2 linked regions of the Rattus norvegicus genome follow. The protein of the gene in region 1 binds, or shares a complex with, the protein of each later gene. Links are inferred from orthologs where the notes say so. Each region holds a gene or a part of one and is shown in the gene's direction. Other genes may lie near its edges.

The links. Proteins that work in one complex are often made in the same cells at the same time.
Region 2: the proteins of Aplnr (region 1) and Apln are in contact, whole or in part, in a cryo-EM structure (PDB 8XZG), measured with the Homo sapiens proteins. The link is inferred for Rattus norvegicus from reciprocal best matches to the Homo sapiens genes APLNR and APLN. Residues at the interface, in NP_005152.1 of Homo sapiens: Tyr35, Phe78, Trp85, Tyr88, Thr89, Tyr93, Ser106, Ile109, Phe110, Met113, Pro163, Val164, Arg168, Gln180, Cys181, Tyr182, Met183, Tyr185, Glu194, Glu198, Leu201, Gly202, Ser205, Tyr264, Lys268, Tyr271, Ser275, Cys281, Asp284, Leu285; in NP_059109.3 of Homo sapiens: Arg66, Pro67, Arg68, Leu69, Ser70, His71, Lys72, Gly73, Pro74, Met75, Pro76, Phe77.

The regions. Positions count from the first base shown.
Region 1 is NC_086021.1:90,622,811-90,626,877, forward strand, and holds the start of Aplnr (apelin receptor), read left to right. Parts: upstream 1-1,244; 5' UTR 1,245-1,467; coding exon 1,468-2,601; 3' UTR 2,602-4,067. UniProt on the Homo sapiens protein: G protein-coupled receptor for peptide hormones apelin (APLN) and apelin receptor early endogenous ligand (APELA/ELA), that plays a role in the regulation of normal cardiovascular function and fluid homeostasis.
Region 2 is NC_086039.1:132,088,430-132,092,496, reverse strand, and holds the start of Apln (apelin preproprotein), read left to right. Parts: upstream 1-1,250; 5' UTR 1,251-1,590; coding exon 1,591-1,657; intron 1,658-4,067. UniProt on the Homo sapiens protein: Peptide hormone that functions as endogenous ligand for the G-protein-coupled apelin receptor (APLNR/APJ), that plays a role in cadiovascular homeostasis. Functions as a balanced agonist activating both G(i) protein pathway and beta-arrestin pathway of APLNR.

The DNA.
Region 1 (4,067 bases):
GTGAAACAGAAAGGACACACTTAAAACAAAACAAAACAAAACAAAAAAACCCTTATCTTGAGCATCCTTCCTCTTCCTGCGGAGCCCTGGGGACAAGGCCAGATGGGAGGGTGACTACAACATCTGCTCGGGGCTGCTTCTTTTTCTGCATCCTCCTCTAACTCAACTTCCTGACCCCATGTGGTCTTATGAAACCTCTTGACCCATGGAGATTGGTAAGGACCCGAGTACATGTTCTTGCCACATAGTAATTCACACATTTATTCTCCTTTTCTTCTTCCTTCCCCAATTCGGTTCGGGCTTTTACTTATTCAGTCAACAGCCAAAGATCCCTGAAGGCATGCTAGAACTGTCCCCCCCACCCCCATGCTTAGAGAAGAAGAAAAGTAAACAACCCACCATAACAAAATCTACCCCGTGACCTTTGTCATCAGACACTTAGCATAAGCCTCAGTTTCCCCATAGATTTAATGATGTGCCTAGGAGCCAGTTTGTCTTAGTTTCTTTCCTTTTGTGACTCTGTCAACTAACTTTCTAATACCTCTATCTGCAAACTACAAACTCTGGTCTGCCAGCAGCTTATGAACTGTAAAGACATTTCATTATGCTTTTGTCTGCAAATCACCAAAGTTCTCAGAAACCCTAGGGTTGAAGGCCGATGTGTAGAGAAGAATGAATGAAGTTCAGGGAATCCTAGTGTCTCATCTGGGTGGGGGTGGGGTGGGAGTGCAGGGTCAGCAGGGACCATCCAGATGCTGGGACACCCCTGTGAAATATCACACCCTCTCTGCCTGGGGCTTGTCCTGGATTCAGGTCAAACTGGATTTCAATCTGCATAATTTGTCTCATTTAGAAGGGTTGGGAGAGGGTGAGAACAGGAGGGTGAATACTGAGGAAGGGGATAGATACCCCTCCCCCCCAAAAAAGGCAGGCATGAAGTGGTGGCCAGAGGGAACCAGAGTGAAGAGTCTGGAGTGAAGGCTGGTAGCAGCTAGAGAGAGGAGGTGGGACCAGGAGGAGTTGCAGGCTGGCCAAGCACAGATAATTGTCAGCCCAGCACAGTAGGGGTCAATTTAGTCTACTTACCCAGTGGCAAGAAGGAAAAAGAAGTGGGCTGTGACTTAAAGATCTTAAGACTCACTAGAGAGGGAGGGGTTAGCCTGGGGGTGGGAGGAGAGAGTGTGGAGTTTTTAGGAGGAGACGGAGACTCAGGAGGGTGCAAGGAAGTGTCTTAGCTGAGCTGGGCTAGGACCAGGAAGGTAGAGGTGCAGCCGCCTGAGAAGCACATCCTGCTGGGTCTGAGCTCCCAGAGAGGCTAGTTCTGCATGCCGGGAAGGGCTCTAAGCACCCTCAGACCACTTACTCTGAGGTTTGAGCCAAGCCTCCAGGGTGCTTGCTGAGTTGCTGAGATAACTTTGGAGCTGGTGTCCCTGGGACTCACTGCCCAGCTTCCCTCCATTCACCACCATGGAAGATGATGGTTACAACTACTACGGGGCTGACAACCAGTCTGAATGTGACTACGCAGACTGGACGCCCTCTGGAGCTCTCATCCCTGCCATCTACATTCTGGTTTTCCTTCTAGGCACCACAGGCAATGGCCTGGTGCTCTGGACCGTGTTTTGGAGCAGCCGAGAAAAGAGACGCTCAGCTGACATCTTCATTGCCAGCCTGGCTGTGGCTGACTTGACCTTTGTGGTGACTTTGCCACTGTGGGCCACTTATACCTACCGGGAGTTTGACTGGCCTTTTGGAACCTTCTCTTGCAAGCTCAGCAGCTACCTCATCTTTGTCAACATGTACGCCAGTGTCTTTTGCCTCACCGGCCTCAGCTTTGACCGATACCTGGCCATTGTCAGGCCAGTGGCTAACGCTCGACTAAGGCTGCGAGTCAGCGGGGCCGTGGCCACAGCAGTCTTGTGGGTGCTGGCTGCCCTTCTAGCTGTGCCCGTCATGGTGTTCCGTTCCACTGACATCCCGGAAAACAGCACCAAGACCCAGTGCTACATGGACTACTCTATGGTGGCCACTTCAAACTCAGAGTGGGCCTGGGAGGTGGGCCTTGGGGTGTCCTCCACTGCTGTGGGCTTTGTGGTGCCCTTCATCATCATGCTGACCTGTTACTTCTTCATTGCCCAAACCATCGCTGGCCATTTCCGAAAGGAGCGCATCGAGGGCCTGCGGAAGAGGCGCCGGCTGCTGAGCATCATCGTGGTGCTGGTGGTGACCTTTGCCCTGTGCTGGATGCCTTACCACCTGGTGAAGACTCTCTACATGCTGGGCAATTTGCTGCACTGGCCCTGTGACTTTGACAGCTTCCTCATGAATGTCTTTCCCTATTGCACCTGCATCAGTTACGTCAACAGCTGCCTCAACCCCTTCCTCTATGCCTTCTTTGACCCCCGATTTCGCCGAGCCTGCACCTCCATGCTCTGCTGTGACCAGAGCGGGTGCAAAGGCAGCCCTCACAGCAGCAGTGCAGAGAAATCTGCCAGTTATTCTTCTGGGCACAGCCAGGGCCCCGGCCCCAACATGTGCAAGGGAGGAGAACCGATGCATGAGAAATCTATCCCCTATAGCCAAGAAACCCTTGTGGACTAGGGCTGGGACCAGAGGGAAGCCTGGTGCCTCGGGGCCTGACCCAAACTTCATCCTCACGCTCTGAGAACCAGGTAGCATGGCTTCTCCTGGACTCCGAATTCCCTTCTCTGCTCACCTCCAAGCTCTCTGCCTTGCTCCTCTCTTCTCACGCTTGTGGTTTAGTGGAAAGGGAAGGAGCCTTGCAAACAGCTCAGCTGTTCAGTACTTCTGAGGTTGACCTTGCACAAGTCTCTTAACTTCTTGAAACCTCAGTCACTTTGTTTGTAGTAAATGGGTCAATGTTAACCCTAAAGTGTTGAAGTGTGAGTCCTGACCCAATTTGTTTCTTTCTGTTTGCTCAGCCCTCTGAGCTTTGGTTTTCTCTGTTGCAGAAATTGTTTCTGTCAGCTACTCACTTTCTTCTTTCTTTCTTTCTTTCTTTCTTTCTTTCTTTCTTTCTTTCTTTCTTTCTTTCTTTCTTTCTTTTTTTTTTCCGGAGCTGGGGACCGAACCCAGGGCCTTCCGCTTGCTAGGCAAGCGCTCTACCACTGAGCTAAATCCCCAACCCCAGCTACTCACTTTCTAGCGCTAACTCTTTCTCTTCTAGTGGCTTCCTCCCCCTCAAACCTTCCTGCCTATACTCAGTGCCTTCTCCCCTGCTGGGCTTTTAAGGGTAAAGAACCCTGAAAATTGAAGAGTAACTTATCTTTTGAGTTCTTGTCCTGTTTTCTGAGAGCCAGCAGGTGGCTGTATGTAGGCAAACAATGAATACTCTAGTCCCCACAGCTCCGATCTTTCCAAAAAGTTGGATGAGTTCATTGTTGGTTCAGCCACCAGGGCTAGACTGATCTTTGATTCTTTGGCAGAATCTCTATGATGCTTAGTGAATAATGCATCCTACCAATAACCAAGTATCCTTCCCATCACTTTTTAAAATTGTCTGTGAGAATTGCAAGGCAGCAGGGCTGAGGTGGCTTTGGATGAAGGGGGAGTTGGGAAGGGAAAACAGAGAAAGGGTGAGAGGGGAATCTGTATTTAGTCTGTATGCTGCTTGCCTCCCCTCCCCCAATCCTTGCCTCTCCACCTCCTACAGAACTGTGAACTGTAGAGCAGATCTTTCTCCTGTGTCCTCCCCCACCCTACCTTCTCTATAGGTTTTGGTGCTATTTGGCACTAAGAGTCACTTGGTTAGGTAAGGCTATTTGGTTTTTGTCAATATGGGTATATATAAATATATATGCATGTGTGTGTATGTGTGTGTGTGCGCGACACACACCCAGAAGAGTATCACATAAGCTTCATTGATGAAGGACTGGGGTGAACCCCCACTCACTTTCTCCTGTGCTCCTATAGGTCTCACAGACCACTTGGGGAAGAAGGACATATGGAGGGAGTGTAGAATAGATATGGGTCCACCCCCACTGGATTTGGGGAACTCCGACGGCTGGTCCGTATTTAGGAAAGAAGTCTATGTTTGTGCTAGGCTT
Region 2 (4,067 bases), on another chromosome or scaffold:
ACCTTTTCACATCTTCTGTGGTACATAGAAACACTGTCCAACGTACCTTTTGTGTATGGTTGGATGTACACATGGAGCAAACTGCCTGCCTTGCTTCAAGGTGGAAACACCTTTTGATTTAGTCTTTTAATATGTGTTGAGTGCCACCTATGTGCAGAGAGTGATATTGGGGACTTTAGAGAGATCTGGAAGATTGGGACCATTATGGTCCAATCTTAAGGGGTTCCCAGTCTGGTGCATTTCTTTGGGAGCCCCCAGGCTGTAAAAGGAGCTAAGCCTCTAGAGTAGAAAGGCAAATGGTTCCGGGGCCCTCTTATAGCAAGGAATCCCAGTTGAGTGTAAAAAAAAATTCAGCCGAGTTTGGAAGGCGTTGGGAGGCCCCCCTACAATGGGACAAACTAAGTAAAGGACAGCTCCAAGCAACAAGAAGGGGAACGCGGTAGAACCCTGCAGAATGTCTCCGAACAGTGAAGAGGAACCAGGGGGCAGTATCTCCGGAATGGGCAGAGACAGAACGGTGGCTTTTAGATTGAGTGGGACATCGAGGTTTTGCTGTATGCATAAAGAGCTTAGTCATGGAGCCAGGCATCCAGGTAGAGGGCACACGTTGGGGGACAGCGGGAGAATTAAGGGTGGTAAGCAGTGACCTAAGTTTTATGCACACCCTAGGCAGTCACCCCCAATTCTAATTCAGTTGAAGATGCAGAGGAGAAAGGAGGCGGAGTAGGGGAGGTCTTGAGCAAAGGAGCAAACCCATACTTGGGGATGCAGTGTCAAGGAAAGAAAGAACAAAGTTAGATTCAGAAAAGGAGGGAGGGTGTTGTGGGGAGTCCAAACAGGATCCTTCTCCAAATGCCCAACTATCCTGACAGCTGTTAAGGAAACCCAGGTGAGAAAGGGTTAAGAGTACCCTTCACTGCTCCAAATGTTTTTTGCGTTTGAAATCCTTCAGGTCTCTACGAACCCTCTGGACCCCGGCCAGGCAGGCATTGTCCCGGGAGCAGTTGTGGGTTGTCCGAGCAGCCGCTCAGCCTTTGTTGTGGGGCCACCTCGGGGTTCTCTCTCGCGCCCTGGATAGGGCTGCAGCATGCTTCCCGGGAGGGGGGCGGTGCGGGAGGCTCACTCCCTCTCCCTCTTCCTGCCTCCCCCCGCCCCACCCCCGCCTCCTAATGACCACATGACCAAGTGGGCTCGCGGCCAAACCACAAGCTACAAAATGCAGACCCCGAAGTGAGCAGGGAAGCATTCTCTCCAGCAGCCTGGACCAACGGGTAGTTGGGAGTCGCGGGCAGAGCACAGCTAACCACTTGGAGAGTTTTTGCTGCTGACTGGAGCCACCAAGGCCAGCTTCGCGGCGCTGCCCTGCGGCGGCAGAGGAGGCTGCACCAGAGCAGAGGCAGCGAGCAGGCTTGGGGCCGGTAGCCAGCGGTGCGGCTGGGGCGCTCACTCTCTCCAGCCAGCGGTCCGGGAGCCACGCGAGCTCCGTGCCCGCACGCGCTAGCCCCGGCTCGCGCCTTTCTTTGCGTCAGGGTGCCCGGCCTCTCCGCCCACTCGCCGGCTCATTAGGGCTGCCACGGACCGAGTTGCAGCATGAATCTGAGTTTCTGCGTGCAGGCGCTGCTGCTGCTCTGGCTCTCCTTGACTGCCGTGTGTGGAGGTGAGTGCGTGCCCTCTTGCTCGCTTGGGCTTTCTCCGGGGCTCTCCCGAGGTGCAGCCTGCGCGATCCTCTCTTTCCGCCCCACGCGCGTTCTTCCCGCCTCCGGGGAAACCCGGCGCGAGTCTTGCAGGAGCAGCCACGCGCCAGCCGCACCGGGAGGCCTATTGACAGGGCATCTGGGGCCACGGGGCGACGTGCCATGTAGGCTTTGCTTCTTCGGACAGCGCGGGGGGCTTCGTGATTATCTGGTATATCACCACTTAGCACCCCCATACTCCCGTGTCCCTCGTACTTTAAAGTGTTCCGTGCCACAGACTCACACTTTATGTCCTGCACCCTGCACCCTGTACCCCACGTGGTGGTGGTTCAGGGTTGGGGGAGAGGATGGGAGCATGTCCAGCTCACCTCGTGAATCAGTGGAGGTGGCTGACCTGAGCTGAGTGGGTCAGGACTCCATGTTGAAGGTCTCTGGGTCTTGGAGTTTAGGGGCTGCTGGCCAGTCCAGGGGCTCAAGCTACTGGGGATGATGTGCCAACATGTAGACGTGACACTTGTTGCATAGTCAGGAGCACGCTGCGGGGGCGGGGGCGACCGCAGTGGCTAGTGGATCTCAGCTGTTGCTCCTTCAGCCTCTGTGTAAGCAGAGGTATAGTCCTTAGGCAGATCTGGACTGGACAGGGCCAGGCTGGTATTCTGTACTCCAAGGTCCTGGATGATTTTGTTCCCTGCTCCATTGTGGGACACCTGGCTCCACAACCTCCATCTCTCTGGAGACTTGGCTCTTCTCAATTCTGGCTTCATCCTCCACTCTTGCCCCAGGTATAACTTTGGTCCCCGGTCTCCAGGTACCAAAAAAGAGGAAACACAGGCACTTGATCTCATAACCTCCACGCAGCTCAGGGAAGAGGACTCCCTTCACCTCCACCTGTATTAACCTCCTACCTGGAAATTCTCTGCACCGATAATCTCTTGTCTACTTCAGTCTCCTGGGTCCTTAGTGTCCCAACAGCTCCTGCTCGGTCTGCCTGTCCTCTGTGGGTCAGAGCCTCCTGGGACTGCCAGCTCCCACCTTCAGCTGCCCCAGTCCTGTGATCTGGCTGTCACGGCAGCCTGCCTGGCACAGCCGAAAGGGAAGGCCGAGACCAGGTGGACAGTTGCCAGTGCCAGGGCTGGAGTCACAAGGAGGTGAGAGTGGAGAGAGAGGGAGTGAACAGGACAGCAAGTTTCCTAGAGGAAGGGCCCAGGAACATTCTTAGTTTGACGACCCCCCCCCACCCCCCAGAACAGGAAGATGGCATACTGCCCAGGAGCCTCTGGGGTTCTAGCCAACTCTGCCTGCCTCTCTGTGTAACCACCTCCTTTCTGTGCTTTTGTTCTTTGGCATTGCCCTGAACTCAGTACATTGTCAGGCTTCTCAGGAAAGTACATTGGCCCCGTTGATGCCTCCTGCCTCCAGGTAGTCCAGTGATCTCCGGCAAGACCCTACCTAGCACTGAGGCAGCCCTCCTCCTTAGGAAGAGGAGTAAAGACTTTATCCTCAGAAATTCATGTCAGCTAAGCAATGGCCAGAAGGGAGCAAAAACTATGAATAAAGATACCACATCAGCCTGCCCCTCCACCATGGAGTTTACATAGCCAGTATGATTGGCAAGACAAGACATCCTCATCGTTCAATTTCAAGCAAACAGTCCAAGGTAGTGCCTCTAAAGAAGAAAATGACTGGGTACAGAGAGGGTACCCCAGAGGAGGCTGGACCACCTAAAGCTGCATATTTCTCCAGAGGGTATAAGGGAGACTTTGACTAGCAGATACTCTGTGAACCCTTTGGGGTGCAGCTATAGGGGTATTACTAGTAAAGTCATGAGCCAATTTCAAGGAAGTTAAGCAGGCTGCCAGAATACATTGGGGTTCTGATCTAGATCCTGAAACTTCTTGCTCTGTCTCCTCCTTTTGCTTTAAATCTTTTGCATACTCTAACAATGTAGGTATAAGACATTTTATTAAAGACTAGCATTGGCTACTTCTAAAGCTCCTACTATTTTTCCACCCTTGACCACTCCTGGAACCAAGAACAGCACTTCCTTGGAGGTGGCCACCAGCCAGAGGTTCAGCTATGCACACTCTACTCCTGTGTCCTGGTCGAGAAAGAGGAGCTCTAGAATTCCCTTGTCCTTAGCAAAGACTTGTATGAGCTTTCCACAGCCAGAGTCCTCGAAGTTCCAGACTCAAAAACCATGCTTCCATTTCTCTTCCCACTTTCTCTTCTGTCTTGGAATGTTCTCCCTCCTTCTTTGCCCCTCCCCCAACCACAAAGATTTCTCCCTGCCTCCCGACCTGGGAGACGCTTTGCTCTTCTGAGACTGAGAGTTTCTGGGTCCTCGCCAAGTGTCCCTTGGTCTCTGAGCACCAC